Saccharomyces cerevisiae S288C: one gene and its partners. Changing the gene in region 1 together with any one later gene gives a genetic interaction. Each region holds a gene or a part of one and is shown on either strand. Other genes may lie near its edges.

Region 1 (2,891 bases):
TTCCCTCTGAATACATGTTTCTAACTAACTAACCAAGGAGGGCGCTTGAATGAATCTTTTTTTTTTTTAGAAATAGATTTACCACTCTTAGAGTTTCCGCTATAAATAATGGCAGCTTGCCTGCGTCCGAAATACCCTTTGGGTATACTAAACATAGATATATAAAGTAATGAAGAAAAAATGAAAACTTTTCGTTGAGGGAAAGAGCTCAAGCTTTGGGATTATCAAATTAAATTTGTATATATAAATGTACATAAAGTCACAACAGGAAAATGATAATATACACATAATCTTCTGAGATGCAAAATGAATGGAAAATAATATGACATGTAAGAACCAACTAATACGTCATTAGGAAATGTTTTGCACATTCATAAGCTGTCCATGATATAGCAGTAGCCGGCATGTTTGCCACTATCCTTGGTTTCCAACCTCTCCAAAACCCTTTCCAGCCATAAACTTGATATATGGCACTGGCTGCTTTACTAAAAGTATCCGCCTTTCTCATAATTTCCAACGAAACTGTTTGACTGCCCCTTATCTGCAGTACTGTCTTTATGCAGTCTAAAGGTGTTGTGATCGCCGCACATGTCGATCCGCTGATACTGCCACACAGACAATGTATGAGGGGGTTGTACTCATTTGATGGGTTTAAAAATTTTGTGGATGATTCATATATGACGAAATTAAATGCTGCAAATGGGATGTTCATTACTAGGGTGGTTGGGTAAGAATAATAAAATGCTGCCAAACCTTCAGATTGGTAAATCTGCTTTGTGGTTTGCCATACTGATGCCGAGGTATTGAGTTGGATTCTCTGTTTTATTGTGTCGAATGGGTTCATTAATGCGTCAGATGCCGTGGTGGCACAGGCACCACTGATAGCTGTCTTAAAAGGATGGTGCGTTTGCGTATCACTCGAATCGATAAGATTTTTTTTGCAGAACTCATACGTACCAAAATACACTGCATGCGCAGGTCCCGCACCTAGTATGACAGACTGAACACCCTTCCATAGGGCTAGAGTTCCTTCGGAAGTAGAGATGTGAGATATTTGCGAAAGCATATTCTTGGCAGACAGCGATTTCGCGTTGGCTGATTGTATTCGCGTCTTAAGGGCATCTATCGGGAACATCACTGAATGTTCCATTATACCAGCAAATGCACCCGCTATAAGTTGATGGTACAATGGCGCGTGGGTGGGGAGCGCCTCATAATCGGGTAGATCCATAGGTATTGCTGGAATTGGCCTTGTTGAATTATTACTCGACGAGTTTTCTACCATAATATCTTCTTTTTTTATAACATAAATATATTTACAGCAAACCTTAAGAGGTGTTAACGAATATGGGAATCGTGATTAATTAAGTGAAGTTACGATCCCAAGATAAAATAAGGAAGTTGTTGAAAGAGGAAAGAATCGATGAAGAAATGAACGACAAAATTACTTTTGTCAATTGTAGGGTACGAAACACCAAGAAATGCAATAAGTGCTATGTAAAGGTGATCCAGTCTTGGTTAGCACACACGCCCAGTTTCTCGAGAGACATAATGACAGTAAACGGTGAGTATAAAAAAAAAGCAAAAAAAAAAGAAAAAAGGAGCAATCGTTCGTTACAAACGATCTAGACTTGATGAAAAAAAACCCTAAAATGTCTCAGACCTAAAACAAAACCCTAAGAAGCACGTGATACAAACCTGTCACGTGCAACATTATGGGGTATGGGTGTGTCACACATTTGAAAAAAAGTGGGCGGAACGTGTGTGGGGGGGTGTCATGCCATTTCCACATTTGGTTGCTCTGGAGATAAGATCCACGAATGAAGGTGAGGGGCATGACTTCAGGGATCAATTTCCCGCCCGCAAGTTAGTTTTTCCGGTGGGAGCCGAGCATCAAGCATGACCACTTCCTGGTGCAGAGAGAAAGTTTCACACATATAAAAGAATAAACCGAAAGTAATGTAGGGAGATGTTTAATGTGATTTTTCACCTTTGTTTTAATGATTACGCACAAGTTTAAATATTACATTCATAAGACAGTAAATAAACGTATTAAATGATCGCCCAAAGTACCAGATTAGCCGCCGCCGTCTCTTCTTCAGCCGCCTCCGCGGGTGTCTCAAGGATAGCCGCTAGCGCCATGGCCAGCACTATTTTCAAGAGATCTCCGGGCAACTCGTTCAACTCTTTTAAGGAATATAGAGAAAATGCCAAGACATATGGTCCCTTGAGTGCCTCACTAGCTACCAGAAGACACTTGGCTCACGCGCCAAAGTTGTAGGCGTATCTTAATTATGCTCTTTTCTTTCCTGGTTTATTAATGATGATGACTTTAACCTATTCTTCTTTTGGGGTCCTGGTACGGTGCCTCAAATTTTTATACAACATGACTTTTTCAGTTACATATTTTTTTATAAGTACTTAATTTAGAAACGGATACATTTACACTACATTTTGTCTATTTTTTTTTTTTTGTTCCTTTTGTTTTATGCTATATTTAAGAGGGAAAATAGGACGGGGCTGCACATTACAACGGTGAATGGAACGCCAGCATAGATAATAAATCTACCTAGAATGTCAATCTTGGGCTCTCCAATATATAATGGACATTCGTACTTGCTTGCACCTTCTTTGTGCGTGGCCTCCAGTCTTTTTCTTGCCGCAACGTTTCTGTCATCCTTCAGATGGAAAACTTTGATCAATAACGTGTAGATCATCGGTTTGCTGATCACGTACTTCCAGATAACAACGCACGGTAGGCCCACCAGCAGCCTGGCTAAGGTTAACCGCCAGCCACAGTTAGGTTCCAAATTGTACACCAGGGTGACTCCAAACACTTTGCCCAACCAATCACAGCATTCAATACCTGACACAACGCCCATGAACGCAAC
Region 2 (2,662 bases), on another chromosome or scaffold:
ACAAGTACCCATTGGCGCTATGAATTTCTACACCATCGGCGCCAGCCGCGATAGAATTCTTAGCCGCATGGATGTAATCCTTGATATACTGTTTAATGTCGTCTTTAGTCAAACTATGTTCGAGATTATTCGCATCTTTGGCCTTTTCTTGTAACGTAGCATTCATATACACTCTGTCAGATGCACAGTCATAGCGTAACCCGTCTCTTGCCAATACGTCTGGGAAGGATGCCCAGCCTAAAGACCAAAGTTGTACCCACGCGAACGACTGACAATCATGGATGGCTAAAAAGATATTCTTCCACTCAGCGACCTGCTCATCAGACCAAATCCCAGGGGCGTTGTCATAGCCGCCGGCTTGAGGGGAAATAAACGTACCTTCCGTGATGATCATGGTACCAGGTCTTTGAGCACGCTGACCATAATACACAGCAGCCCACTCCTTATTTGGAATATTTCCGGGGTGAGTGGCCCTCATTCTGGTCAATGGGGGCATAACCGCACGATGTGCAAGCTGAGTGTTACCAATCTTAATTGGTTCAAAAAGGTTTGTGTCTCTTAGGGAGATCGGCTCAAAACCTTTTACAAATGGCATCTTCTAAATTTAAACTTCGCTATACTGAACTACAGTTGTTGTATATATCAAGTACGTACTTTTTTGCATATGATGGGCAAGAATCAAGCACAGTTCACAACCCTTATATAGGTTCGAGTTGTCCTACTTACAACACTGTGCTTAGTAATGGTTATTGCGACTTTATCCTTGTTCTGAACGGAGTTATATCAGGAACGCAAACTGCTTACTAAGGAGCCCTTCTAAGGAGCCCTCCGCAAATAATAGGATCGGCAATTTCAGACGGAGGACGGAGCCGCCTAAGTGCCAAGAACATTAAAGAAGAAAGAAATAAACCTTGAGCGGCTACACGAAACAGTGGTCAAGAGTAGAATCTCTGAAACGTCGAACCCTCTTTGTCAGTTATCGCGGGCATATTCTGAGAAGAAGCAATATACAACAAACGAGCAGGACAGATTAAAATTTTCAAGGCGAGGTAAGCTGTGCCAGATCAGTGTGGGACGACGCTCAGTAGTTGGCGATCGAAGCACGTGATCAGTTTTCCACATCCGTGATTTGGCGCAAATTACCATGTGAGCGTGCGGGAATAAGCTCCTTTATTTGCGGAGCGACAAAGGAAACGAGACCATATTACCCTACCTTCCTTGTTTTATTTTACTTTTTTTTCTAATTTTAATTTTCTTCGTTCCTTCAACTGTATGTACCCTTTTTCTACCGGAAATAAGACGGTCGTAGTGTCCGCGTTTTTGGTTCTTTAACGACAAGACATCAGTGCCTTCTCGCATTTTTGTTGAATTGTATTGTATTATGCTCGATGTTTCCAGAACGATATATACATCTGAGAGTTTATATATCAACGATCATTTTCTTGTTGCAGTAAGCTATAATAGACGCGTCAAATAGTCTAACCAGTCTAAATCTCATCAGCCACACACACGTACATCGGAATATTATAGAGAACAAATGTCCTTCATTAAAAACTTGTTATTTGGAGGTGTTAAAACAAGTGAGGATCCAACCGGGCTCACAGGTAACGGGGCCTCAAACACAAACGATTCTAATAAAGGTAGTGAACCGGTAGTAGCGGGTAATTTCTTTCCTAGGACGCTTTCCAAATTTAACGGCCACGACGATGAAAAAATATTTATTGCTATTAGGGGCAAAGTATACGACTGCACAAGAGGGAGGCAGTTTTACGGTCCAAGCGGGCCATACACTAACTTTGCAGGCCATGATGCGTCGCGTGGTCTTGCATTGAACTCCTTCGATCTGGACGTTATTAAAGATTGGGATCAGCCTATCGATCCCTTAGATGATCTGACAAAAGAACAGATTGACGCACTGGATGAGTGGCAAGAGCATTTTGAGAATAAGTACCCATGCATTGGTACTCTGATTCCGGAGCCTGGCGTGAACGTATGACGATTGAGCTCCGCACATTATTTATTAATAGCAAACACCAAGGAAAGGGAAAAAGGAAGGGGCGTGGTGGACGATGATATATGTATACATATACATATCTATATTTTGAAAAAATCTTCTATATAACGGTTGTATAGAAATAATTACTTATTTATGAATTAGTACAAAATATACAAAGCATGCTGCTGTTCGGAACGTGACGAAAACAGTAGCTTAAACTGTATATTTTTTGTGATACTGTGCGGCTGAAACAGGGAACAATATCATTAGAACTGCACAAATGCTTCTCTAGGGATGCCATTCATGCTACTCTGAAAACCCTTTATGGCAACTTCATAGTTCCAGTTACTTTGCTCGGCCAACATAAACGTGTATTCTGCATTCAATTTCGTTTCCAAATGTAGTTTATTCAGCAGCTCGAGTTGTACGGGATTTAGCCGCGACTGGACATCTGGAGGTAGTTGCAAAGTGGGAGCCATGACCATGGCTCCTTGGGGTGCGCCGGGAATGCTCATCCCTCCTGGTACCACTGAAGGTTGTGGCTGCGGTGGTGTCGTTATATTTGGGTTCATGCTTGCGACCTGTGGTAGGACCGAGGCCTGTTGCTGTGGAGGCTGTGCTATTGCAATAGATGCAGTTTTCCAAGCGCCTGTGGAATACGCTCTT
Region 3 (3,672 bases), 550 kb from region 1:
CACGACCTAGCATACCACTATATACGTGTACGATTTTTTTTTTCTGTGACCGCACTACACCAAAGTTTAATGTTCCATTGGCCCCGGAACCATTCTTGCAAACGGCGTTCTTTTTCCGCTTTCGGGTGACACTTAATTTAGCTTCTTTTCCCTCTCTGACACCTCTTGTTATCTAATCTGTAGATCCGACTCTTTTTCTTTTTGGTGTCGTTCTTCTATGTCCGTTTTTCTGTCAACAAAAACGGAAATAATAGGTAGAAATTAAGAGCCGTACGTGAGTGAGAGGAGATCCGAAATGAGCTGACAGTATAACTAATATAAGCTTACAAGATATTCGACTATTTCCTGGGAAAAAATTCATTCCTTTGAGAAATCCTTAATAAAAACAGACTAACTACTAAAATTTTAGAAATTTAAGGGAAAGCATCTCCACGAGTTTTAAGAACGATATGACCTTGGCACCCCTAGACGCCTCCAAAGTTAAGATAACTACCACACAACATGCATCTAAGCCAAAACCGAACAGTGAGTTAGTGTTTGGCAAGAGCTTCACGGACCACATGTTAACTGCGGAATGGACAGCTGAAAAAGGGTGGGGTACCCCAGAGATTAAACCTTATCAAAATCTGTCTTTAGACCCTTCCGCGGTGGTTTTCCATTATGCTTTTGAGCTATTCGAAGGGATGAAGGCTTACAGAACGGTGGACAACAAAATTACAATGTTTCGTCCAGATATGAATATGAAGCGCATGAATAAGTCTGCTCAGAGAATCTGTTTGCCAACGTTCGACCCAGAAGAGTTGATTACCCTAATTGGGAAACTGATCCAGCAAGATAAGTGCTTAGTTCCTGAAGGAAAAGGTTACTCTTTATATATCAGGCCTACATTAATCGGCACTACGGCCGGTTTAGGGGTTTCCACGCCTGATAGAGCCTTGCTATATGTCATTTGCTGCCCTGTGGGTCCTTATTACAAAACTGGATTTAAGGCGGTCAGACTGGAAGCCACTGATTATGCCACAAGAGCTTGGCCAGGAGGCTGTGGTGACAAGAAACTAGGTGCAAACTACGCCCCCTGCGTCCTGCCACAATTGCAAGCTGCTTCAAGGGGTTACCAACAAAATTTATGGCTATTTGGTCCAAATAACAACATTACTGAAGTCGGCACCATGAATGCTTTTTTCGTGTTTAAAGATAGTAAAACGGGCAAGAAGGAACTAGTTACTGCTCCACTAGACGGTACCATTTTGGAAGGTGTTACTAGGGATTCCATTTTAAATCTTGCTAAAGAAAGACTCGAACCAAGTGAATGGACCATTAGTGAACGCTACTTCACTATAGGCGAAGTTACTGAGAGATCCAAGAACGGTGAACTACTTGAAGCCTTTGGTTCTGGTACTGCTGCGATTGTTTCTCCCATTAAGGAAATCGGCTGGAAAGGCGAACAAATTAATATTCCGTTGTTGCCCGGCGAACAAACCGGTCCATTGGCCAAAGAAGTTGCACAATGGATTAATGGAATCCAATATGGCGAGACTGAGCATGGCAATTGGTCAAGGGTTGTTACTGATTTGAACTGAAGTATCGCTATTGCTACGTAAAGTAATTAAAAGTTAAAAAGAATAAAACTAGAGCGTTTTTTCTACTGAGTTAAGGGGTCATGTCAGAATATAACATACCCTTTGACATTGTATATATGAATTCCTGGATTTTGCAGTGATCTGATAAAAAATGTATGTCGAAACCTGCAATTATCCTTTCGTTTTTTTTCTTGTCATCTAGTGCTGGCCTATCGGTATCAAGGACATCTTTTGCGCGGATAGAAAAGGGCCCATACATACCTTAGAAGCAACTCAAGACAATTCATGTACTTTTTAAACCAACTAATATTTCAAGACGTTTCCGTAATGTCGGTGGATAAAAGAGAAGATATGAGCAGATCTTTCCAAAAATGTTTAAACTTGAGATACCCTATCATCCAGGCCCCTATGGCGGGGGTCACGACTATTGAAATGGCCGCTAAGGCTTGTATTGCGGGCGCCATAGCTTCACTACCCCTATCCCACTTAGACTTCAGAAAGGTCAATGATATTGAAAAGCTTAAACTGATGGTTTCACAATTCAGAGATCAAGTAGCCGATGAATCTTTAGAGGGCAATCTCAACCTAAACTTTTTTTGCCATGATATCGTTGATAAACCGACCGATCTTCAAACAGCTAACTGGGCGAAGCTATACAGAAAGTCTATGAATGTGCCGATTGATATGAATGAGATTAAATTCGATAATGGTAATGTATCTTTTAAGGCATTTGAAAAAGAAAATGCTCTTCAAGATTTTTTCCAGTACCTATCAGATGGCTTTAGGCCTAAAATCATTAGTTTCCATTTTGGCCATCCGTCGAAATCTACAATAGAATATTTACAAAAAATTGGAATTCTAATTTTTGTGACTGCCACCTCTGTAAGAGAAGTTCGATTGTTAGCACGTCTCGGCATTAATGGCATAGTGTGTCAAGGCTATGAAGCGGGAGGACATAGAGGAAATTTCTTAGTAAATGACCCCAAAGATGATGAAAACTTATCAACTGTACAATTGGTGAAAAGAACAGTTGATGAACTTGCTGAAATGAAAAATAAAGGTCTTATACATGCTACTCCCTTTGTCATTGCAGCAGGTGGTATAATGGATTCCAAAGATATATCATACATGTTATCACAGCAAGCAGACGCTGTTCAAGTGGGGACTGCTTTTCTTGGTTGCAGTGAATCCAATGCATCAAAAAACTTTTCAAGCCCCTTCACTCGAGAAACAACAACTAAAATGGTTAATATAATATCAGGAAAGCCTGCAAGGACCATCTCTACTCCTTTTATCGAAAAAGTCATTGCTAATTTTCAAGGTGAGGAGCTTCCTCCATATGGCTACATGTATAGTGCTTTCAAGCAAGTAAGAAAAAAGTATCCAGAATTGGCTAACTTTATTTTAGCTGGACAAGGATTTCAGAATGTCCAATCAGGAATCACAACAGACAAGAAAATTGAAACTATGGGCGCAAGATTGAAAATTGACGGAAAATAATATAAATACATATAAAAGACCTGATACTTATTGACACAAATTTTCTGGATGACCTTTTTCTATATGATATATATACGTCGCTATTGGATCGTAGGTTACTTGGCCATTATTTGAGCGTAACCGTTCACAGGATGTGGGCTTTAAGGAATACAAAATCCAAATATGGAAAAAATTTGATATCAATTTAGGGCTTTAATATCTAAAGGTATTTATTTTTTTCACAGTTTTTTTTCTGTTAAGCTGTCTGCAATAAGGAATGCTCCTGACATGAAATTCGAAAAGGACCGGAAATAGTTGGAGCACAAGACTGCAAACTAAAAAACAAATTTCTTTGGAATTTCCTTACGCTTATAGTATATATCTTATAAATATTAAAATTAAGAGAATTCAATTATTTTACATCATTTATACAACTGTACAGGGCCGCACATGATCACTATAACAATAGAGCGGCGGCACCAGCAATAGCAGCGGCACCGAAAACACCGTTATTGAACTTGTTAGCACCGTTAGTGGTAACGTCAATAACACGAGATGCTGACGATGTGACAGAAGTAGCTGTAGATTGAGCTTTGGAGGAGACTGGCTTAGT

The links.
Region 2: mutations in DPI8 (region 1) and DAP1 together harm fitness more than expected from each alone (negative genetic interaction), as found in Saccharomyces cerevisiae (one large-scale study listed by BioGRID).
Region 3: mutations in DPI8 (region 1) and YJR149W together harm fitness more than expected from each alone (negative genetic interaction), as found in Saccharomyces cerevisiae (one large-scale study listed by BioGRID).

Annotation. Positions count from the first base shown.
Region 1 is NC_001142.9:159,013-161,903, reverse strand, and holds DPI8 (Dpi8p), read left to right. Parts: upstream 1-2,056; coding exon 2,057-2,281; downstream 2,282-2,891. Other genes in the region: MRS3 (Fe(2+) transporter), read right to left, coding at 341-1,285; sphinganine kinase LCB3, read right to left, coding at 2,487-2,891.
Region 2 is NC_001148.4:226,777-229,438, forward strand, and holds DAP1 (Dap1p), read left to right. Parts: upstream 1-1,537; coding exon 1,538-1,996; downstream 1,997-2,662. Other genes in the region: OYE3 (NADPH dehydrogenase), read right to left, coding at 1-595; MEX67 (Mex67p), read right to left, coding at 2,263-2,662.
Region 3 is NC_001142.9:705,295-708,966, forward strand, and holds YJR149W (putative nitronate monooxygenase), read left to right. Parts: upstream 1-1,865; coding exon 1,866-3,080; downstream 3,081-3,672. Other genes in the region: branched-chain-amino-acid transaminase BAT2, read left to right, coding at 450-1,580; DAN1 (Dan1p), read right to left, coding at 3,517-3,672. UniProt on the Saccharomyces cerevisiae protein: Catalyzes the oxidation of alkyl nitronates to produce the corresponding carbonyl compounds and nitrites.